Drosophila melanogaster: one gene and its partner. The protein of the gene in region 1 interacts with the protein of each later gene in a pairwise test. Each region holds a gene or a part of one and is shown on either strand. Other genes may lie near its edges.

The links.
Region 2: the proteins of dan (region 1) and dac interact in a two-hybrid assay, tested with the Drosophila melanogaster proteins (one study listed by BioGRID).

Annotation. Positions count from the first base shown.
Region 1 is NT_033777.3:25,182,531-25,187,425, reverse strand, and holds the start of dan (distal antenna), read right to left. Parts: upstream 3,044-4,895; 5' UTR 1,997-3,043; intron 1-1,996. UniProt on the Drosophila melanogaster protein: Probable transcription factor with a role in the retinal determination (RD) network. Regulates ato expression and is required for normal R8 induction and differentiation.
Region 2 is NT_033779.5:16,482,680-16,487,723, reverse strand, and holds the start of dac (dachshund), read left to right. Parts: upstream 1-1,725; 5' UTR 1,726-2,287; intron 2,288-2,916; 5' UTR 2,917-2,981; coding exon 2,982-3,916; intron 3,917-5,044.

The DNA of each region.
Region 1 (4,895 bases):
ACAACAGAAAAAGATGAAAGAAATAAATATAAAAGAATTACACCAAGTTTGTCAGTGTGTGTGTGAGTGAGTGTGTGTGGAAGGGGCCCGTCTGTGTCTGATGTTGCTGCTGTGCACACATGCACACTCACACACCCGAACACTTACACACACCTAGTCAGGACAGGACATATGTATGCCGGAATGGCCATACCCGTCAGTATGTCTGTAATGGCCAACCGTCTGGCCATTTCATCGTACACGTGAGTGTGTATGTGTGTGTGTGTGTGGGCTAAGAGCTTCTGATTTTCCTATATACAATTATAATTTTATTGTATTTACTATTTTTTTCGTTTCTTTGGCTTCGTATTGAACTCACTCACAGACACAGAGGGGCAATGCATGTGGCAATGTGGCAAGGACACCAAGGAGGGTCAAATGGGATGGGTCGGGATGAGCGAGGCGGGGGGAGGGGCAAGCGAAGGGGGGCAGGAGAGTCTGGCAAATGGAGGTCAACGACTGAAACTAGTACTAATATGTGCAAGCGTTTGATAGCTCCATTCGTTTGTGCTAATGCAGAAAGAAATAAAACACAAAAACGAGGCAACACATAAAAATAAGAATTCCGTAGATAAAAGAAAAAGTTGCTTTGGTCCAAACCCAATCGTGTGTTAGTGTGTGTGTGTCTGGGATGTCTGGGATGCTTCCCTCACCGCAGTTAAGTGTGTGCAAATAAACCATGTGTCTGCTGTAATGTTGGACCTGTTGGCACCAATGATCTATGTGGCTTTAAGCACTATTGCACCTTTTTTATTGTGTGTTTTCGTTTATGATTAGCCCGATTAATGTTGTGTCGGCATTTCGCAGTGGAACGAATTTATTAATTGTCGGGGGATTCAATATGAACTTTATCAAATTATCTAACTATGGTCTCATGTATGGGCAATACTATTTTAAACAATGAATCGATTTTCAGAATTACAGTTATATAATAAATAAATAAAAATATGTAAATCCTTTGATAATTTTCCTAGTGTTGAAATATCAGTGATGTTATGAATGATGTTGTTTTACAACACTGAAATGCTAATGATGTACGAGAAAAATATAATTATAAATAAAATAAAAAATAAGAAAGATAATAATAAGCAACTTTATTAAATACTTTCTAATTTATAAAACAAGATGAGAATAGTGACACAGAAGCGTTCAACAACTAAACGGATAGGAAAATAACTTTTTACCATAAATACAATCAAAAAGTATTGCATACATTAAGGGGCCAATAAAACCGGTTTCCTGTGTTTGTTAATATTGCAATTCAATATAAACTTGGTAGATAAAGGAAATCTAACTAAAACTCTTTAGTTATATAAAATTTACATTTTTTCAAGCTTATTTTACAAACCAAGTATCATATGGACAAAGTAATATTTGAATCTAAACTCGGAGGTAAAAAAATTAAATAAAAAATTAAAAATATTAATTTTTGATGGAAAGCAAATTTAAGTAATTGCTAACGCAGTGTTAGGAGGTAAATAATAAAATTACATAAGATATTAATGTTATACACAATATCTATCACTCCTGAATATTATTATAAATAAATATGAATAAATACTTTCTCGTAAAATATTTCCTGCTCTTTTGTATAAAAAAGTTGTTAAGTTGTTATTTGAAGGACCTACTAAGATTTGTACTTATTAATTTATAAAATGTGGCAACTATTCAAATACACAAAGAACTGCACTTATATTGTTTTCCAAATTGTGTAAAAATAATTCGTTTTTGTTATGTAGAAAGGTAAACAATAAATCTTCAAAACTAATCTCTCGAAAAACTTTTTATGTTTGGTTTCCGATTTAAATAAATATTTTTTGATTATTTAATATTTTTTCTTGTGTCACCAATTCTTCAAGTTGTGTTTAAAACACTCAGTTAACTGTTATTAATTAATGCAGAACTAACAATTACACTTTACGGATTGCTCAATTCACCGGTGAAATCAAATACTAACCTTTTAGTTATCTTCCGGGGGCGAAAATGGATCGGTGCCTTCTTCCAGCGAAGGCGGGAGAAATTCGGTGATAGCGCAACTATTTGCAGCAGTTAAATTATTCTTATCTCGACCGGCGATGTTTTTAAATCACTTTACTTATAGTTCACATGGATTTGAATTTATTGTTTTCAGTTAATGTTGTTGTTCATTTGAAAGTATAACATCACTCGGTCAATCACAATCGAACACTGTGCTCGCGATGCGGCGTGATGTTTACCGCTGCTGTGGCGTGCGAATTTTAGCGGCAGGACATGCGGTGCGGTGCGGTGCGACCTCTCTCTCGCGCTCGTCGAAGGATATTGTGATATTGTGACGCTGCGTCGCTGTGACGTGGATGTGCGAACCTGAGCGGCTAGCGTGCGGCGACAAACTACCGCGGCGGACTTGAGTGAATTTTGATTTTAGCGCGGCGAATTTCCGCACGGCGACGACGGCGGCGACGTCACGGGAAATTTAAAGTCGCACGTCCACGAAATGCGGCGTTTCGTTCTCACTCACATACACAAGCACACTCGCAGATATATGCGTCCTGCAGTGGTGGTTGTGTGCTGGTCAGTTGGTCTGCCTTGGTATTAGTAGTTTTGTAGTTGTCGTTTTTGTTTCTTTCACGTGTGCGTGAGTCGCTCTCTCTCGCTCCCTCTCTCGGACTCTCTTTCGCCCGCTCTCTTTCGCTCTCACTGTTGCGAAATTCGCGGCCTTTTTCGGTGACAGCCAAATGTACAATGATTAATAACGGTCAAGACGGCGGCGAAGAAGTCCTCTCGCTTTGGCTGCCCCGTTCGCAATATTCGCATTTTGGCATTTTCGCATTTTGGCCGGCCCAACCACAGGCCAGTGTCCACTCACACACACACATATCGAGCACACATACTAACACAGCACATCCTCCCACACACACACACACACACGTGCGGACACACAGCTGTGTGCAACGAAGACGACGCAATACTCGTGCTAGGCTTTTTGAGATTGAGAGACGCACATCCTTTTCGGCCTCCTTTCTTGCGCCCACGTGTGTGTGTGAGCACAGAGAGAAAAATCTTGATACCTTAGTAAAGATAATGTTATTAAATTTGGTAAGAATTCGAAATTTAGTATAATAATTTAGCAATTTTGTATCTCTTAGTTATGTACATATATTCCATGATTATAACTATGAAAATGAAATTTCATACAAATAAACGAATAGATGATACGATCGCTTGTGATGAAAAGTATATATTACTTTTCTGCCAAGCTTATATTTCCTTGTATTCTGTATTAGTTTTAGGTAAAATCTAGATTTTTTCCAGTGTAAGACTGTGTGCAACCTCAGGAGGCATTTGCTTGCGTTTAGCTAAGCCATTTTCTGCTTCCTTAAACGCTGGGCAACAACTATCAAACGAGCAACGGATCTGCGAGAAGAACGTGAAAAACCTAGCCGAAATCCCTGTCTAATTTTCGCAGTAGGGGGTGCGCCTTTTATCGTCACTGATAATTCTGCTAGTTTTCCCGCTGTCATGTGCTGCAGTTGTTGCTGTTGTGATTGCGGCCAGTTTTCCTCGCTTTGTTTTGATACATGCCTTCATCGCAGATTACGTGGGCTCGCCTCTCTTTCGCGACCGTTTCGCAAAGAGCTGAGGCAAATGAGAACCGAACATCCTCTTCCTTAAGAGAGAGAGAGAGAGAGAGGGAGAGAGCCAGTGAGAGAGCAGCTTTCGTCCTCGTCTTCGGCTTTTTGCCGCCCGAACCGAACGAAGTTATGACGGCAGGAGGTGGTGACCCCACGGGGAAACCCCCCTTGGGAAACCCACATTCTTGAAAACAAGGCGAATCCGTCCAACAGAGTGGCTTTCTTGGCTCTTTTCGTCGCTCTTTTCGCTGGAGCGTGACCGGCGATCGCCGAAGGAACCGGAATTCTCGAACGGACACTCGATCGCAAAGATATGGGCATGACATAGTGGTTGTTTCTCCATCGACTTTTGCAGGCAAATTGCTGCGGTTTAGAAATGTCAGATGGCGAAATAATCGAATTCAAATTGTGGGACAAGAAACTAATCAGCTGCAAATTTCAGGTGATAGCCAGCTTCAAAATATGTATTTCCCATATTTAGCTACCAAGAATAATATAATTGTAGTGTATATAGGTAGGCAGGACAATAACTTATGTTTTCCATTAAAGTGCCGACATATTCATACATATTCATATACTTAGTGCACAACATATTCAATGCTTGGTATACACCAATGTTTAACATGGTTACGCATTAAGATGTTTAGGTTCCTTGTAATATTAATTACCGAGCTGATAAGCTCTAGGTAGGAATAAAAAACCATGTTAAATAGATTGTTGATATCATTCCCAAGCAAGTTTCAAGTCAAAGTGTATTTTGATTAGTTCTGCGAGAGAAGAAAAACCTGACAAGTATTTGCACCATCGTGGGATAGCCCCGAGATTACGATCTTATATAATGCGTGTGTACACATAGGCATTTTGAGGTCGTAGACTTAGTAGTTGCTATGCAAAACATTTGCGCAGAGCACACACACAATCGCACATACATAGCTCCCTATTTCCCTATTGTATCTGGCCAACGAAGGCGGCCACTGACCATAATAACAACAACGGCAACGAAAAAGACAGCAGCAGTGTCGCCAGAGTTGCTAGTTGCTGCCTTTCGGGAAATCGCTAAGAAAGGTTTTTGAATCCATGTCCGAAACGCACAATCACACGTACACGCACAGCCACACGCACACGAAAACACAGGCCCAAGGATATAGTGTAGTCGTACATATAAGTAGAGGCGTATACACAACAAGGAGCAACAATAACGCAGGACTACGGAATACGGACAGCGGACAACGGACGACGGACGAC
Region 2 (5,044 bases), on another chromosome or scaffold:
AGTACCTTTTTGTTGTCCATTTATGGGGGGAAAACAAATTTGTTTGAATGAATACTTTTTAATTCTGCATGTCATTTTTGGTAAATTTAATGTACTTATTCGAATTTAAAGCCAGCGATTCATGTATATGTCATAATTAAATGAAATTCATATGACATAAGGAAATGGTAAAAGAAAAAATAGCCTAAAATGTCACAGTTTAGAAAAAAAGTAGCGTTACATATTAATTTTCATATCTAATATAATCTTATAACTATTTTTTAATGAAACAAACCGATGTAAAAATAAAATATTTACATTACAATAATTATTGTGTTTTAAATTCTTCTTTAAAGCCCGAAAATATTTTCTAAAAGCTGTTGGAAATCCACATTTGCAATCAATTTAATATTAAATGGTTGCTGTCACCTAAAAGACAGTGGGTGAGGAAATCCACAAAAGAAAAGCCCCAAACGAAACGAACAAGAAAAATTCATACGTCATGTGCAAACACAATACATAAAGACGTATTCCATTCCCATATAGAAAGAAATATGTACATGGAACTCTCAAATGGAGAGAACGGAATGCGATTGGTTCGGCGACGGAATGGCAATCGTTATGGAGAAGAATCGCAGAAGGCGAAACGAAGACAAATAATAGAAAAATGACCGAGCTCTCAGATACATTGTACATAAACATATAGAGGTGGCAAAGGTGCGATGCCAGAATTTATAAGCAATGCTATTTATAAGAACCCGAAAAACGAACGCCCCTCAGGCGAAAAAAAACCCCATTATCGCAATATGTGTAAGTGGAAGAAAGATGCCCTGCCATAGTGCTGCTCTCCTCCGAATCAGCAACACAAAAAGAAATACAAATAAACGGGACTCGAATGGAAACGAATGGGAAACGGAAAACGGTTGACAAAAAAAATCAAAGCTTGGGACGGAAAGAGATAGCAACACTGCCCCGAAAAGTATAATTCGTTGAAAGTTTGTCATTTACTTTTAATTGAAATTAAAATGCTTTTTGTCAAAGACAGCTGCGCAAACTCGAAGTAAAGCTATTTTTTTTTACTTTTCTTCTCTGGCAATGCATTTATTATAATTTACTTTGCAACACAAAATGCCAAAACAATTGTCATTTGTTTATATAAGGCGTCGCCCATGGGGGCGAGCGAGAGCGCAAACATGTACGACTGGCTATGCAAATATGCTGCTTTCTCGCTCGCTCGTGTTTATTGGTTGCAGCCCACCTGAGCGTGCGACAGAGATGGCGAGATGGTGTGAGAGAGAGGGCTCAGACTGAAACGAAATGAAATTGAAATGAAAAACGTTTTTTTTTCCAAAGAGAGAGAGCGGGAGGATTTGAAGAACACAACACGCACAAACGAATTGAAAAAATAAATAAAACGAATGCAAGAGAGAGAGAGCGATTACGTTTGTCATTGTATTTTCGGGGTTGCACACAGAAATATACACAGATGCAAACACACCGATCAATCGCACATACCACTCCCCTTTTTGGCCTGGTATTGGTGTAATGCGAGACGTGGACGGGCAACAGACATTCGTATTCGTACTCGTATTCGTATTCTGGTTTTGCACAATCGCAGATACAGATACACCAGCTCGCTCTCACAGGCACAGACACACACATACAAGCACACTCGTCTCGGCCGACCGCGCTGCCGGCGTCGCTGCCACGAAAATCCGAAAGGAATCGAATTGAAACTCGCCTTTCATTACGAATTTGTCATTCGCAAGAGAAGGTAATGCAATAAAACTTTTGCGCGCGCATTTCTCTCAGTACATAACGGTAGCGCTTCGTGTGTACGTACGTACGTACGTGTGTGTGGGTGGGCTAAAAAAATAGCACTCGTTAGCGCCCGCTCACTCGCTCACTCGCAGTCGTCGCCTCGCGCCGTCTCGCTCTCAGTCGATTCCCATTCGAATGCAATTCGTTTCGTTGATTTCTCCGAACGAGAGGGGGAAGAGGAACCAGTCGAAGGCGAAGAAGCAGAGGCAGCGACGCCACCGTCGCCGTCGCAGCGGAGTAGCTGCCATCTCTCAATCTCTGAGTGACAATCCGTCGGTACGGTACTCGAAAACGGACACAGCTCCGGTTTCCAAAATTCCAGTACGAAAACGGTTATTCGAACTCGATTAACACAAGCGGGCAATCGGAATAAATAACTTGAAATATTCAGAGTATATATTTCACAGCGAAATTCAAAAAGCAAAGTGCGCGAGTGTCTTGTGTCAGTGATGTTGAGTTTATAAATTACTTTTAGACCTCCTTAAAGGTAAATCTATGTTCTATATCGAATTATTCAAATAAAGCTGACAATAGGTATATTTATGCAAATTGGCAGTAAGGATCCAAATTAGCTTCATTGCCTTGTTTTTCCCAAAACTTAATTAAAGCAAAGTTTGCAAAGCAATAGTTCTGTTGATAAAGGATTATTTATGGGGGGTATTAGAAGATAATCGGACTTTAAATGTCTGAAAGGAAACTTTTCTATTTTCTGTTAGTTCTCTATATTTCTTTGTAAGTAAAATGTTTGTTAGGATATTAATTTACAAAAAATATTTAGCAATATAAACTTGTAGCTACCATATAACTAACTAAACTGGCTCAAAAATAGATTTTAATAAATAGGAGCATAGCTGAGCCTAATACAAATCCTAAATCGTTTGTAAATTTTTTGAAGGTCTGCATTTAAATTTGATGTTATAAAACTTACAGAAGTATTAAAAATGTAAAGCCAATAATAAGCGGATAGGAATATACGAGACACGCTCACTTAGAATTTGCATATAGAAGCCTAATAAATAATTAAAAATGAATTAAGAGTTCATTAATTATTTATCTTCCTCTCACCATCTATTTTCTATTTCTCCCTTACTTTGTGTCAAATTTTTGTCACGATAGAAAAAACGTCAAATTAACGAATCGATTAAAAAGTAAATAAACAAAAGTGTCGGCCATGATGAAGTATGGATTCTGTGACAAGTGAACAGAGTGAAAATAACAACAATAAAGCGGGCGCAATAAATAACAATATTAATAGTGGTATTGAAAGAGCCGCGGGCAATATGAACACCACCGCCATGTTGATGCATCACCAGCAGCAGCAGCAGGCAGCCGCAGCAGCGGCAGCCGCAGCAGCCCAGCAGCAACAGCAGCAGCACAATGGACGCGACGGTAGCAACAGTTCGCGTGGAGCCAACGAGGATCGTCCAAATGGACGGAGCTCGCACACAGGACGAGGATCCAGTTGCTCACCGGCCAGTTCACCAAGTCGCCATCCCAGTGCCGTCAGTCCGGTGAGCTCCCTCAACCACTCCATGATGCAGCAGATGCAGCAACAGCAGCAACAACAGCAGCAGCAACAGCAGCAGCAGCAACACCATCAGCTCAGCCCCCCGCCACATGGAATGCCATCGGGCAACGGACTGCCGACGGGCCTACCGCCCAGAATGCCCCATGGACTGCCGCCCCATTCGCTGGGGCTCCTCAACTCCCTGCAGATGATGCACCATGCCTCCCCCTTGGAACTGATGGCCGCCGCCCATCACCATGTGCCGCCAAGGTCGTACAACTCACCGCCGCCGATCTCCACCTCGGATCCCAGTGCCAATGAGTGCAAGCTGGTGGAGTACCGGGGTCAGAAGGTCGCCGCATTCATAATTAGCAACGAAACGATGCTCTGCCTGCCGCAGGCCTTCGAGCTCTTCCTGAAGCACTTGGTCGGCGGTCTGCATACGGTTTATACCAAACTAAAGCGCCTTGACATCGTACCGCTCGTCTGCAATGTGGAACAGGTGCGCATATTACGCGGCTTGGGCGCCATCCAGCCGGGCGTCAATCGCTGCAAGTTGCTCTGCTGCAAGGACTTCGACATCCTCTACAGGGACTGCACCACGGCCAGGTACGAAACCGAAGCAAAAGCATTGGGGGCAGTTCCACACGCAATTGGGGGTTTTTCGTTATTTCAAGACTTCATTTGATTATTTCACTGATCTGTGCTGTGCAGGCGAATATTTTGCAAAGGGAGTTTTTGCTTAGATTTACAGTAAATAGAATAATCTTGTAAGGATTTTATATAAGAATTGGATTGGGATTTAATTGCTTTTGAATACGATTAAATGTTAGTTACAATTTTAAAATAAATTTCTTAACGCTATCCAATGATTTCGCAAAGTGCATGTGCCCAGTTAGTTGCATTTCCAGTTCGGGGTTTGCTCTGCAAAATTTTCTCATTTCCTGTTTCCGCTTTAGCCAACTTACGCACTCAACTTCCACCCCCTGCCGCGGCCGCCCCCAACTTCTTGCATATTCTTGCAACGGTTGCAATGCAAATAGTTTGTGCATCGATATCGATTAACACGGGCAATCAAAAAACTTTCGTTTCGCATTTCGCCGTTTGCCTTTTCCGATGACATTTAGCGGAAATACGCAATGCAAACGTAACGCTCCCCGGTGACCCCTTGCTAACTAACCGAAAGCTGCGTAATTCTTTTGAACGCCTCTAACAATAGTTGGTAAAACAGTTTTCCACCTTGCACAACTTTTCCTCCTGTTTTATCCGATGTTTTTCTGCAATCGACGTGTGCGGTGCGCTGTCAGCTCATTTCCGTTCGAGTGGAAAAAACGACAAGCAAAAACGAAGTTCAGTAGAAATGGGTATCGTGTTTTTTTTTTTTAAATCTTTTGAGGGGGATCTAGGAGCTAGTGGGTCTAAAGTTTTTAATGGTTTAAAATAAAACCATTGTCCTTGGTTACAGAAAGTTTGGCGAGCTAGCCAATTTTCGCCGATTTGTTCAAATGAAGGCGACTGAAATATTTGTGTCTCTAAAATAAATACTTCCTTATAGTTGCAACTTAAGCCAAAAGACTTAAAGAGTTACGTCAAATGATGCAGACTTATACAGAAATATGCAGATATTTATAAATTGTGATTAGATCGAATGGCTTAGATTAGATACAAAAAGGCTTAAAAGATCAACACAATTAAAGGCTAATATTCCGATTGATCCCCAGGAGATCCAAATATTTC